Linked DNA regions of Callithrix jacchus. The protein of the gene in region 3 binds, or shares a complex with, the protein of the main gene of each other region. Links are inferred from orthologs where the notes say so. Each region holds a gene or a part of one and is shown on either strand. Other genes may lie near its edges.

Region 1 (3,890 bases), on a different chromosome or scaffold from region 3:
AGCCACTGCACCTGGCAATTTATCATTAGTCTTTTTCTTTTTTTTGAGACGGAGTCTCGCTCTACTGCCCAGGCTGGAATGCAGTGGTAAGACCTCAGTTCACTGCAACCTCTGCCTCCTGGGTTCAAGTGATTCTCCTACCTCAACTTCCTGAGTAGCTGAGATTACAGGCCGCATCACCAAACCTTGCTAATTTTTCTATTTTTGGTAGAGACGGGGTTTCACCTGATCTTGTGATCCACCTGCCTCAGCCTCCCAAAGTGCTGGGATTAAGGCATGAGCCACCCCACCCAGCCTATGATTCATCTTAAATGCTCTGAAAGCAGATTTAAGATTAAAAGAAGATTCAGAATTTTTTTTTTTTTTTTTTTTTTTTGAGACAAGGTCTCACTCTGTTGCCGAGGCTGGAGTGCAATGGTGCAATCTCAGCTCACTGCAATCTCCACCTCCTGGGTTTAAGCAATGCTCATGCCTCAGCCTCCCAAGTAGCTGGGATTACAGGTGCATACCACATGCCCAGCTGATTTTTGTATTTTTAGTAGAGATGGGGTTTTGCCATGTTGGCCAGGCTGGTCTTGAACTCCTAGCCTCCAAGTAATCCACCCGCCTCCGGCCTAGGATTTTTACTTTTATCACAAAGATGGGTATGAGTTAAAGAGCAGTGACTAAGAGTGTAAAACTCTGGTCTGAAGACACTGGTGCCTTCTTTTCCTTCCTGTTCCCTGTACACTGAGGCATGATCCCAGTCACTTGCAGCCCACACTTTAGACAGAAGATTGAAAGGCACCCAGCAGGCCCATCGTAACAAGAAAGAGATCAAGGGGCTCTTGGGGTAGCCCAGGTGCGCTCACACTTACCGCTTAGTCATAAGGTTGTTCACGCTGGCCTCAGACAGAAGCCCCTGCTTGCCACATTCTTGGAGCAGGAAGTTTGTACAGTCACAGCTGCGAGGGAGAAAGATGCTGAGGGAACTGTGCATCTGGCTGGGATGTTGGGGGGCAGAGGGAGCAGCAGGTCCCTGAGCATCCTCCTCCCTCTTTCAGGATGAGGAAAATCTGGAGTGCCTGAGGGACAGTAGAGGGGCTCTGCGGACTTGACAACTATGGGCTTCTGCTTTCTGCCCCTCCCAAGGGGAGTGAACAAGGGGACAGAGTCCCCTGAAGCTTTTCAGGCACAGATCAGGGAAGAGCCCAGAACACCTTCCAGTAGGGCAGGGGTGAGCAGGGGAGCTCATACTTGCAGCGCTGGTCAGCTTTGTCCAACAAGGGTGTGAGCTTCAGCAGGAACTCAAAAGCACAGTTGACATCCTCAGTGAAGTCCTAAAAAGAGACAGAAGTGTCTACCTGGTTTCCAGGTCCTCTGCTCCTCCCTCAACCTGCAGGGCAGGCTCACAAGGACACGCTGCTGGATACACAGCCTGTAAGCAGGCCCTGCCCACCGCTGGTTCCCAGCGACTGGCTGGGAAGAAGTACGCGGCATCACTGCTCCCCACAGCGCCACCCGGCCCTTATCATCTCAGGCAAGCTTGACTGCTGGAGGCATCAGCCTGAGCTGCCTAGCTGCCTTCTGCCTGGAGCCTGGGTATATGCTGTGGGTGCACGCACATGCTGAAGCGAACACACACACACTCTGACACAGGTGCACATGCTGAAACACACACAAACTGAAGCACACGCACACTGAAGCATACTCATGCTGAAGCAGGCGCACACACTGAAGCACATACACATACTGAAGCGCACACACACTGAACACACACACACTGAAGCACACATACACACTGAAGCGCACACACACACTGAAGCACACACACACTGAAGCACGCACACACACTGAAGCACACACACACACTGAAGCACACACACACACTGAAGTACACACACACTGAAGCACACACACACTGAAGCACACGCACACTGAAGCACACACACTGAAGTACACGCACACTGAAGCACATGCACACTGAAGCACACATACACACTGAAGCACACACACACTGAAGTACACGCACACTGAAGCACACACACACTGAAGCACACACACTGAAGTACACGCACACTGAAGCACATGCACACTGAAGCACACACACACACTGAAGCACACACACACTGAAGCACACGCACACTGAAGCACACGCACACTGAAGCACACACACACTGAAGCGCACATACACACTGAAGCACACACACACACTGAAGCACACACACTGAAGCGCACACACACAAGCGCACATACACACTGAAGCACACACACACTGAAGCGCACACACAAGCACACATACACACTGAAGCACACACACACACTGAAGCGCACACACACTGAAGCGCACATACACACTGAAGCACACACACACTGAAGCATACATACACTGAAGCGAACACACACTGAAGTGCACACACACTGAAGCACACACACACACTGAAGCACATACACTGAAGCGAACACACTGAAGTGCACACACTGAAGCACATACACTGAAGCGAACACACTGAAGTGCACACACACTGAAGCACACACACTCTAAAGCGCACACACTGAAGCACACACACTGAAACACACACACACTGAAGCACACACACTGAAGCGCACACACACTGAAGCACACACACTGAAACACACACACTGAAGCACACACTCTAAAGCGCACACACTGAAGCGCACACACACTGAAGCACACACGGAAGCGCATGCACACACTGAAACACACTGAAGCACACACGCAAACTGAAGCACACACACTAAAACATACACACACTGAAGCACACTCATGGTGAGGCAGGTGCACACACTGAAACACACACTGAAGCACATACACACACTAAAGCACACACACTGAAGCACATACACAGCAAAGCACACACACACTGAGGTGCACACATGCACACACGCATCCAGCTCTCTTCCAGGCATGAGAACACTGTCCGGTTGGGGCCTGAAGGACCCTTCCCTTGCCCTTGTTTTTGCTCCCATGACTCCATCTCAATTCCTCAACTCACCTTGTCCCCGTGAAAGTATTTCTTCAACTTCACCAAAACCTGTGGAATCTAGGGGGTGAGGCAGAGGGAAAAACAGCAAGATCTGTTTCTTTTCTCTTTCATCTACCCCTGAAGACCTCCCCGCAACCCCCTCCTCCAAGGAGAGAGACAGGAACAGTCCTGCCCTGAGAGTGAGAGCACACTTAGAGCTAAATGACAGCCAAGGCCGGGCGCTGTGGCTCACACCTATAATCCCAGCACTTTGGGAAGCTGAAGCGGGTGGATCACAAGGTCAAGAGATCGAGACCATTGTGGTCAACAAGGTGAAACCCCGTCTCTACTAAAAATACAAAAAAAAAAAAAATTAGCTGGGCATGGTGGTGCGCACCTGTAGTCCCAGCTACTCGGGAGGCTGAGGCAGGAGAATTGCTTAAACCCAGAAGGCAGAGGTTGTGGTGAGCCAAGATTGTGCCATTGCACTCCAGTCTGGGTAACAACAGCGAAACTCCATCTCAAAAAAAAAAAAAAAAGAGCTAAATGACAGCCAATAGGTACCTAGGTCCCTTATGCCCCCAGGCCGAGGCACAGGACACAGGGACCCTGCACCTCTGCTCACTCAACAGAAAAAAAATGCCATAAGCAAAAGTAGATCCCCAGCTTCAAGGAGGACTGGGGCCCCTTTCCCTGGCTCCCCTCACTGCCCCACACCAATCTGTCTGAGGACCAAGCACCTCTGTGGCGGGAAACAACAGAGTTTGCCACATGGGCTAAATATAGCCTTGGCACTTTCAGAGAAAATGATCAATGCGAACTTGCACTGGGATACCTGGCAGGCTGGGCCCAGCGCCCGCAGGGAGAAACACAGGGCAGAGGTCCAGGGTGCCGCTGCTCTTCCTGAGAACCATTCCTAGACTG
Region 2 (3,890 bases), on a different chromosome or scaffold from region 3:
TCAGTGATTAGCCTTAGTACCACCACAAAGCAATTAACCATCAAATGATTAACAAATGTATGTAAAATAGATGAATAAGGAGATAGGTAAGTGAATAAATAAAAGAAAAATTAACTAATAAACTTTTTTTAAAAAAACAGAGCCTATCTTACTTATCTCTAGGTCTCCCAGAAGAAACAGGCGCTTGTGTTTGCCCAAAGGTATGGAGGTGGTCAGGAGGATGAGGACACATATTTCCTGACTCTTTGTTCAGCTGATCTCCAAATAATTACAATTATTCCTCTCTGTCATTTAAATCATATGATGCCTTGTATTATTTAACTTCTATGTATATAAATTCTATTTCCCTACCATTATGCCATGATCTTAAAAAGTATAGATTATATTTTCATATCTAACCTCTGACTTATTAGATGAATAAAAATTTATGTGGGCATTACTTTAAAAATCAAATCTAAGGGACAATATATTTCTAATACTCCAATGGTATTTAGAAGAATTTATTAAAATGAATGTGAAAAGACTTTTAGTACTTATAACTGGAGACACTAATGAAAAAGATCCTTCAATGAACAAAATTCTAGAGGGGGGTACACTACAATAATAATCTTTACAATATTTTCCAAGTATATAAACTTTTTTTCAATATACAGTGTGACTAGACTCCAGTATACAGACATTTATAAAGAACATTCAGAACCTGAAATAAGAGCCCCCAAATTCAGTAGACCAAGCTATAAAGAAATACTACAACAGCGACATGAAATCCTTTCATATAGCGAAATTTCTGTGCATGTAGCTATGGCAAACTCACCCCAAGTTCGTCGTCATCAGAATTATCAAAGATGTTGTCTAAGTCATGCAGGGAAGGTGCCAAATCTGTTACCTGCGTAAGGCTACTGGAGCCAGCTCTGCCAGCAGCATTATCCTGCCGGACATCTGTAGGAAAGGAAGCAAAAGAAACAGAATAAACAACTCCACCAAGTGCAAAGGAGTGGGGAGGGGACACGGATCTCAATGAACATGACCTGCCTGAGTTTTTCCCTATGGTTTTAGTTAAATTTAGAAACAATTATTTCCAAATATGTTTATCAGTTTTGAAAGGAACTGAAAAACTATAAAATATATTAAAGATGAGATGAAATTCTTATTACAATAAGAATAAAATTTTATATTGAGAAGCATCTCCCTTGCATTTTATTTTAGCAACAATCCAAGTGAGGCAAATAATCATTGTACACACCTGTTTTAGTAGCAGAACTGAAAATAGACATGGCATTTTTCCCATCAGGCACCGGCGTGGAATGACCTGGTGTAGTGACATCCTTGGTACCAAATCCATCCTCTGACTGTATAATAAATTCAGCCAAACAAAACACATGAACACCAACCCAAAGTGTGAAATATGAGGGAGAACACAAAGAATTAGAGGGTAGAATGGAACTTGTTATGAGCACAAGTATGATAAACCATGGTCTATGCAACCAAAGGAAATAAAAGATAGGTCCTTTCTCCAGAATTTTAACAGAACCATGAGCTCCCCACTTTCCCCTCAATCCTATGGGGTATTCTGAGTGAATCCGTTTTTTATGCCTAACGAGTACTGGTGGCATTTGATATTAAATGATGCCATGATATTAAAAGCTGCCTTTAACAACATTTTAGATGATGAAGTATAGATTAAGCCTTCTGGATCTAGGGAGATCAGTATAAAACAATCTAAAAATCATTCCCCTGAAGTATACTGGCCTCTTATAATTGTCTTACTTCCTTGATTCTCAAGAATACCTCTTTTGATGGCCCAGTATTTTAGAATGTCTGAAAATTTGAAATTAAAGACAGCAGACACAACCAGTACTCATTTTTATAATAATGAAACCAGTAAAATTAATACTGATAGTCTATGGGTAGAGCTGGTATGAGTCCAGAGAATACACAGGTATAGCGCTCAGCACAGTGAGGATAATAAGCGCTTGATAAACTGTATATACATACTATGATCAACATTTTTCCCTTTACATTTTGGGTACTCTGGAATAATATTTTAAAAGAAATAAGCAGGGAGCATAGGCCAACAAGAATTAGCATATGAGAGGAAACATGCACTGTACAAGCTATAGCCTGGAAAATATGAGGCTTCATTTATGTTCGGCTGACTTTTAAAAAAAGGTGAGCCATGACATAAAAAGGAACAATACGCTGTTCAATACAATAGTACCAAGAGCATGAATATGGGGACAGAGCAATCAGGCAAGACTATCTGAAATGTTCTGCCTCCAAAGTCTTCCCACACGTGTTTTACTGACATAGATAGAAACCCACACGTGCTGGACTCTCTCTCTGTTAAATGGTACCTTATTCTTTTTCAGGGAATCTTTCTCCGTTCCTTGTTTGCATTTCTTGTTGGCTGTAAAGATGTATTTTATGTCACCATCTTCAAAGGTGTATGGGTCATTCACTTCTCCCAAACTGTCTCCAGGTTGTTGTGATAGAGGCAATGGGTCAAGGAAGTGGAGTGGCTGCATCTGCGGCTGTTTGTCTTGCCAGATTTTAAACCGTTTGTTAGGTTGTGCTAAGAGTCTAAAAGACAAAATGACAATTGAAACAAGGTAAACAAGGTTAAGTGCGTTTCTTTAAAAAAAAAAAAAAGGCATTATGACAAAGCATTTACAAAGCTTAAACTTTTTGTAAAAAAAAAAAAAAAAAAAAACTAAAAATTCACCTATATGGTGATTTGCTTTTATAGTTTATATTCGTGATTAAATAAAAATTAGTAAGTATACTTTTTCAAGAATATATGTTTTCGTCTCTGGGTCCATGAATTTCACTTAAGAGCACAGGTTCTCAAGACAAACCGCCTAGGTTCAAACTCCATCTGTGTCATTTACTAACTGCATGGCCCTAGTTTCTCAGTTATAAAATTACCATAATAATATGATATGGTAAAGATTAAATGAGTTAATCTATGAAAAGTGTTTAGAATGAGTGGACCAAAAGCACTGTAAATATTATACTAGATACATGATACACACACTCGAGTGCAGGCAAAGCCTTCCTCAAAAATGTCAACATACAAAGAAGGCACTGGTAGCAATATAGAAGGCCTCATAAAGCTGTATTCTTTAATTAACAAACAATAGGCCAAAAATATATTAATATATTCTGAGTCTACTAACATGGCACAAAGAGGTCTTTATATGCCCGTGTGTTTAAATGACATGTGTGCTATGCTGTACGTAGAACAAAGCATTGGACCATTAAACATCTTCCATATGCAGAGTCAAGAAGGACAAAGAAAAGTCGGCTTCAATTTTGAACCTTATGTTTAGCAGGGAGAGATGGGGAGGGAGCCCATAGCCTTCCAGTGGATGGGTACGTGGTGCAGAGAGCTGTCTTACCTTTGCAATGCAGTGCTCTCTGAGTTTACCTCCATTTTGGCATCACATCTCTCACCCTGGAGCTCTGGAGGCCTGAACTCAGTATCATCACAGGGAGGGAGACGATAACTATGCCACCACTTATCTGATGACTCTGGGTTCGAGGGCCTAATCCCACAATATAAGGCTGTCTCGCTGACCTCTGCCATGAGAGGCAGTCTTTGGCCTACGAGGACAGTTCTGTCATCCAGAGTAGACAACTGCTGGAGTTCTAGCCCATTTCCATAGAGGGCTGGATTCACAGGGACTGATGGTGGGTCCAAACTCTCTGTTTCCTGGCCTCGTGGCTGAGGGCTGAGTGTTGGCGGCAGAGGGGATATAGGGGAATTAGGTGAATCCATAGGATTCAGATTCATTTGCTTGCTTGTATTTCTGGAAGGCACGGCCATTTGCTTATCATACTTCCTACTGCTAGACACCTCTAAGGAGGAGTCTATCCCTGCCAACCCTAGT
Region 3 (4,488 bases):
AAAACCTGAGTATTACTATTTTAAGCCATTAGGTCTTGAGGTTGTACAGCAAAAGTAAAGTGTTACAAACTAATCAAAGTGATTAATCTTAGCCCCTGGGCAAAAAGGCACCTGGTTTTGAGTTTACAAGCATTTATATAAGTCAAAGACAATTACTCCTACAAACTAAAACCTGAGGTATTATATAAAGGATTATTCGATGAACCTCACTTTCTTATTCATTCTCTTATCTTTTTACAACAACAACCTGAACCAATTTTCAATCACATATAGAAAAGAAAATGCTTCAGATTGCTCACACCCATTAAACATACCTGGGTGGAAGGAGACCAGTCTCAACTGCCATTGCTAAGCAGTCATAAAGGAAAGAAATTCTTTTAGGACTATGCTGACCATGAATAAATTTAACAATCCACTGGATACATTGTTCATGAGACTCCTGGAAAATTAGAGAATGATTTTATTTGGGGTCTAAAGTTATATTTTTATAACAAATAGCTGATACAATTGAAAGTATACCAATACTATGAATGAAATATTTCACTATGAACATCTGTGGATAAAAATAATTTTTTAAAAAGCAAAATAAAAAAATCAGATTTAGTATTTGTCACATTAAGCTTAAAATTTTGCAATTATATAGGTAAAATGCCACCATTTTTATTACATGGGACCTTCAAAAGTAGTAATTAACTACTAATGAACATATTAATGATCAATAGAAAACTCAACACAGATAGTTGCAAGGCATTGTAAACAATGCCCTTTATGGCATATATAAATATTACTATCACTGGGGGTAAAATTCATTATGGATCAGTACGTATCAGCCTTAAGCGAATCTAATCCCTAAGAGCCCAAACAAGAGCCCACTACGAATATAACAACATGTCACATTTCTAGACTTGCAAAACTTTAAATATGATGCCCAAATGTTGTGCCCATCTCAAAGCTGGTCTTCTAGCATATCTCCAAGAAGAACCTATAATGTTCTGCACAATCACTGTTCTCATACATACTTCTATTGTTGCACATATAACAACAATTAAGAAATACCTATTTTCTTCCTGGTTTCTCCATTAGAGGGCCACACCATAATTCATAAAGTGTTTAATGACTCTTTAAAAAAAATGTTGCAAAGATGTTCAACATCACTGAGAGAAATGCAAAATAAAACTATTCTGAAATAAAATTTCTCATGTTTTTTACTGGCAAAGATTAAAAAGCTTAACGCTCTATTGTGAGGTTATAAGCAAAAGATAGGCTCAACCACTACAGATGGAAGTATAAACTAGTATAACCCTTATGGAAAATTTAATAATTATTTCTATAAAAACTACAAACAGATACGGCCTTTGATTCAGCAATACTATTTCTAGAACTTTGTCCTATTTCTCATGCATAATATTATTCATCGCAGCATTGGTTAAATTAGAAAAAGTAAGAAGAAACTTAAAAGTCAGTAGAGGATTGGTCAAATGGAGGAAGGTACAGCCATACAATGAAATATTATGATGCTATTTTTAAAAAAGTAGGAAAGGAAGGAACAAGTAATTCTTGGACTTATAGAAAATTACCTTTAGATTATTAGGAGAAATATATATATGATCATTCTATAGTATATATATATGATCATTCTATAAAAATGACTATTGAGATTATATGCCCATGTCTGAGTGGCAAATCTATCACCAGTGGTTGACATGCAAACAGTTCTCATCTCCCTACTTACAGCGTACCATGAGAAGGTAATGTGCTCAAGGATGACATATTTTGTCTTTTTCACGGATACATTTTCTGGTAGCTGTTCTTTGTTACTTTTACAGTTTGTTACTCTTACAGTTTGTTTCCTCATTTTTACTATAGTATCTTCCTATCCTTATAATAGAATCTCGGTATTTCTATTATAGCATCTTTGCATCAATGCTGTGCCAATTCCTTTATTTAGTTAAAAAAAAAAACCTGTAATTTGTATCTTTTACAAGTAAAGCTTAACACATCTGTTTTCAAGTGTACCAAATAAATCCAAATAGGATGAAAATGGTCTTAAATAAGCTAACATGGGGGGGGTTACTTTTTTTTCTTTTTTTTAACATCTCACACTGTGCAATATAAACTTGACTTCTTAACATAAGTTTTCCACTGAAATATACAAATTAAAATAGATGGAAACCAGAATAAAAAAATGATGACAATTTTATTTCTCCCTTCTCAGGAAGATCATAAGAGCAACATCAATGTTAATGTTAAAAAAAAAAAGGGGGGGAAGCGCCCAAAAATCATCAGCTGAATGTATTAAACATGAAGTGCTCACCTGAGAAAGACCACCCCAAAACTGTCTGAAGGCCCCCAGACAGCTAATTAGTTTTGTTTTCTCATCTTCAGGGGTATCCATAAACATGCTAAAAAAAAAAAAAATTACATTAGCTGTCATTCGTTTTAAAAAGGTAATTACACACAATGAGATTAGTGGCTCTTACAACCCTCCAACACGAAACTAAGTGAAATCTGACAGATACAATCATGTAAAAACACAAAAATCTGCCATGCGTACACTCACCCAGGAAAAGCCTCTTCTATAATTTCCGTTTTCTGTAAAAAACAAAAATATAAACAATGTTAAAAAGGGGCCTCCCTTAGCGAAGTATTTACAATGTAACCCAGGGCAAGTCATCTTAATTAGCTCTGAAACTACCAATACCTGTCTGGCCTGTCGTATCAATTTCAAAGGATAAAAAGAACTTGACAGCAGTTTGAGAATCACTAACCCCCCCCGCATACAACGTCGGTGTCAAAACAAGGGGATACAAAGACAGGCGTGAGAGGAGGTTGCCTAGGCCAGTTTCCTTGGTCGGCTGCCCCCGCGTCTCCTAGTCCCTGAGCCATAGTCCTGGATGCCCGGCAGCTGAACTCACCACCACCTCCTCGAAAATGCTCTGCAGTTGCGTCTCCATCTGTACTATCACCCCCGCCTTTCCGGGGTACCGGGAAAGGCCCAGGTCAGATACGAGCTCTGGGAAGAAAGAGGCAGAGGGGCGGAGGCCTCCGGAGGAAACCGTAGCTCCCCGGCGTCGCTTCCCTCCCGCAGCGCTTTACCAAGAGCGTTCTCTCCGGAGCTCAGCCAACAGCAGGAACCTGTACGGAAGACGAGGAAAGCCCGGTGCGCGCTGTTTACAACCCCCGCTGAAACCAGAGGTGCCGCCAGATGGTTCCGGCTCTGGAGAAGGGCGGTCCGCAAGCCGGACGAGAACGCCCCCAAACGGAACCTCAAGCCCAGGTTCCACGGAGGCGTCGTCAACCGTAGGCCGCCACCTCCCGGCTGGAGAAGGAGTTGCTTCCTGCTCAAGGCTAACCTGCGTACAGACTGGGAAATAAAAAGCTTGGAACCCAGAGGCTGCAGCCTGCGGAAAACGCTGGAGCGGCAGCGGTCACCAAGCTAATGTCTGCGAGCTCACCCTAGCCTCCCAAGTAACTGGAACCACAAGCGTGGGCTACCATGCCCAACGCTTTGTAGTTTTTGTAGAGATGAGTTTTTGCCTTGTTGCGCAGGCTGGTCTTGAACTCCTGGACTCAAGCAATCTGCCTGCCTCAGCCTCCCAAAGTGCTAGGATTACAGGCATAAGCTACCATGCCTTGACCAAAATTTCTTAAAGAATGATGAGAAGCTTGAAGGCATTCCCACTGGCCATATCAGAGACAATATGATTATCAAAATAACAAATAATGTATTACAACCCATTAAATAAAATAGAAAACCATGAGTCCACAAAGCTGTGAAGAAATAGATGAATAAATTAAACTTTGGATGAGAAATTATATAGTCACATAGCTTCAATGTAACTCCACAGAGAATACTTATTAACTAAAAAGGACAAAAAGTAACTTTGTGACCAAGAAGCCCAGCAGCTATCATTTTAATCAAGTGAGCAAAATGAATACCATCAGTAATAGGAGACATTGAAACCACGCGCCAGCCTGTTAGGATGTGATGAGAAGACTACAACATAACTTCCATTTTTCTGTCACAGTTGCGTAACCTGAATCTAATCACGAGGAAAGATAAAACCTAAGGGATGTTCTACAAAACAACTGGTCTGTAACATTCAAAAGTGTAAGTCAAAAAAGTCAAGTACTGACTAAGAAATTCCTCCAGAATGAGGAAGGAACTGTTCCATGGCAAGTAAATGCAAAACATGTTTTTGAACATAATCCTTTTACACACACACACACACACACCACACACACACACACACACACACACACACACGCCAGGTGGCCAAGGAAGGCAGATCACCTGAGCTCAGGAGTTTGAGACCAGCCAGGCCAACATAGTGAAACCCCGTCTCTACTAAAAATATAAAAATTAGTGGGCATGGTGGCACACACCTGTAGCCCCAGCTACTTGGGAGGCTGAGGCATGAAAATTCCTTGAACCCAGGAGGCAGAGGTTGCAGTGAGCTGAGCTGAGACTGCACCACACTCTAGCAT

What was found.
Region 1: the proteins of MED23 (region 3) and mediator of RNA polymerase II transcription subunit 24 are in contact, whole or in part, in a cryo-EM structure (PDB 7EMF), measured with the Homo sapiens proteins. The link is inferred for Callithrix jacchus from reciprocal best matches to the Homo sapiens genes MED23 and MED24. Residues at the interface, in NP_004821.2 of Homo sapiens: Asn150, Thr151, Val152, Ser153, Ser154, Glu193, Gly194, Leu196, Pro197, Trp199, Leu201, Gly202, Asn203, Ser206, Asp207, Asp210, Arg213, Tyr258, Asp259, Lys260, Phe263, Ser1133, Arg1139, Ser1176, Glu1180, Glu1182, Trp1183, Val1184, Tyr1186, Arg1189; in NP_055630.2 of Homo sapiens: Lys238, Thr239, Leu280, Leu283, Lys287, Val291, Glu295, Cys336, Glu339, Phe340, Lys343, Leu344, Thr345, Pro346, Leu347, Asp349, Lys350, Gln353, Lys384, Glu720, Lys721, Trp723, Thr756, Arg757, Lys758, Glu759, His760, Met802, Asp803, Pro804.
Region 2: MED23 (region 3) and MED13L share a complex: the UniProt entries of both Homo sapiens proteins name them as parts of the mediator complex. The link is inferred for Callithrix jacchus from reciprocal best matches to the Homo sapiens genes MED23 and MED13L.

Annotation. Positions count from the first base shown.
Region 1 is NC_133506.1:72,287,800-72,291,689, reverse strand, and holds part of mediator of RNA polymerase II transcription subunit 24, read right to left. Parts: intron 3,045-3,890; coding exon 2,997-3,044; intron 1,320-2,996; coding exon 1,237-1,319; intron 945-1,236; coding exon 858-944; intron 1-857. UniProt on the Homo sapiens protein: Component of the Mediator complex, a coactivator involved in the regulated transcription of nearly all RNA polymerase II-dependent genes.
Region 2 is NC_133510.1:119,043,811-119,047,700, forward strand, and holds part of MED13L (mediator of RNA polymerase II transcription subunit 13-like), read right to left. Parts: coding exon 3,399-3,890; intron 2,581-3,398; coding exon 2,355-2,580; intron 1,350-2,354; coding exon 1,244-1,349; intron 940-1,243; coding exon 815-939; intron 1-814. UniProt on the Homo sapiens protein: Component of the Mediator complex, a coactivator involved in the regulated transcription of nearly all RNA polymerase II-dependent genes.
Region 3 is NC_133505.1:138,274,326-138,278,813, forward strand, and holds the start of MED23 (mediator of RNA polymerase II transcription subunit 23), read right to left. Parts: upstream 3,149-4,488; 5' UTR 2,955-3,148; coding exon 2,916-2,954; intron 2,593-2,915; coding exon 2,561-2,592; intron 2,403-2,560; coding exon 2,315-2,402; intron 440-2,314; coding exon 315-439; intron 1-314. UniProt on the Homo sapiens protein: Required for transcriptional activation subsequent to the assembly of the pre-initiation complex. Component of the Mediator complex, a coactivator involved in the regulated transcription of nearly all RNA polymerase II-dependent genes.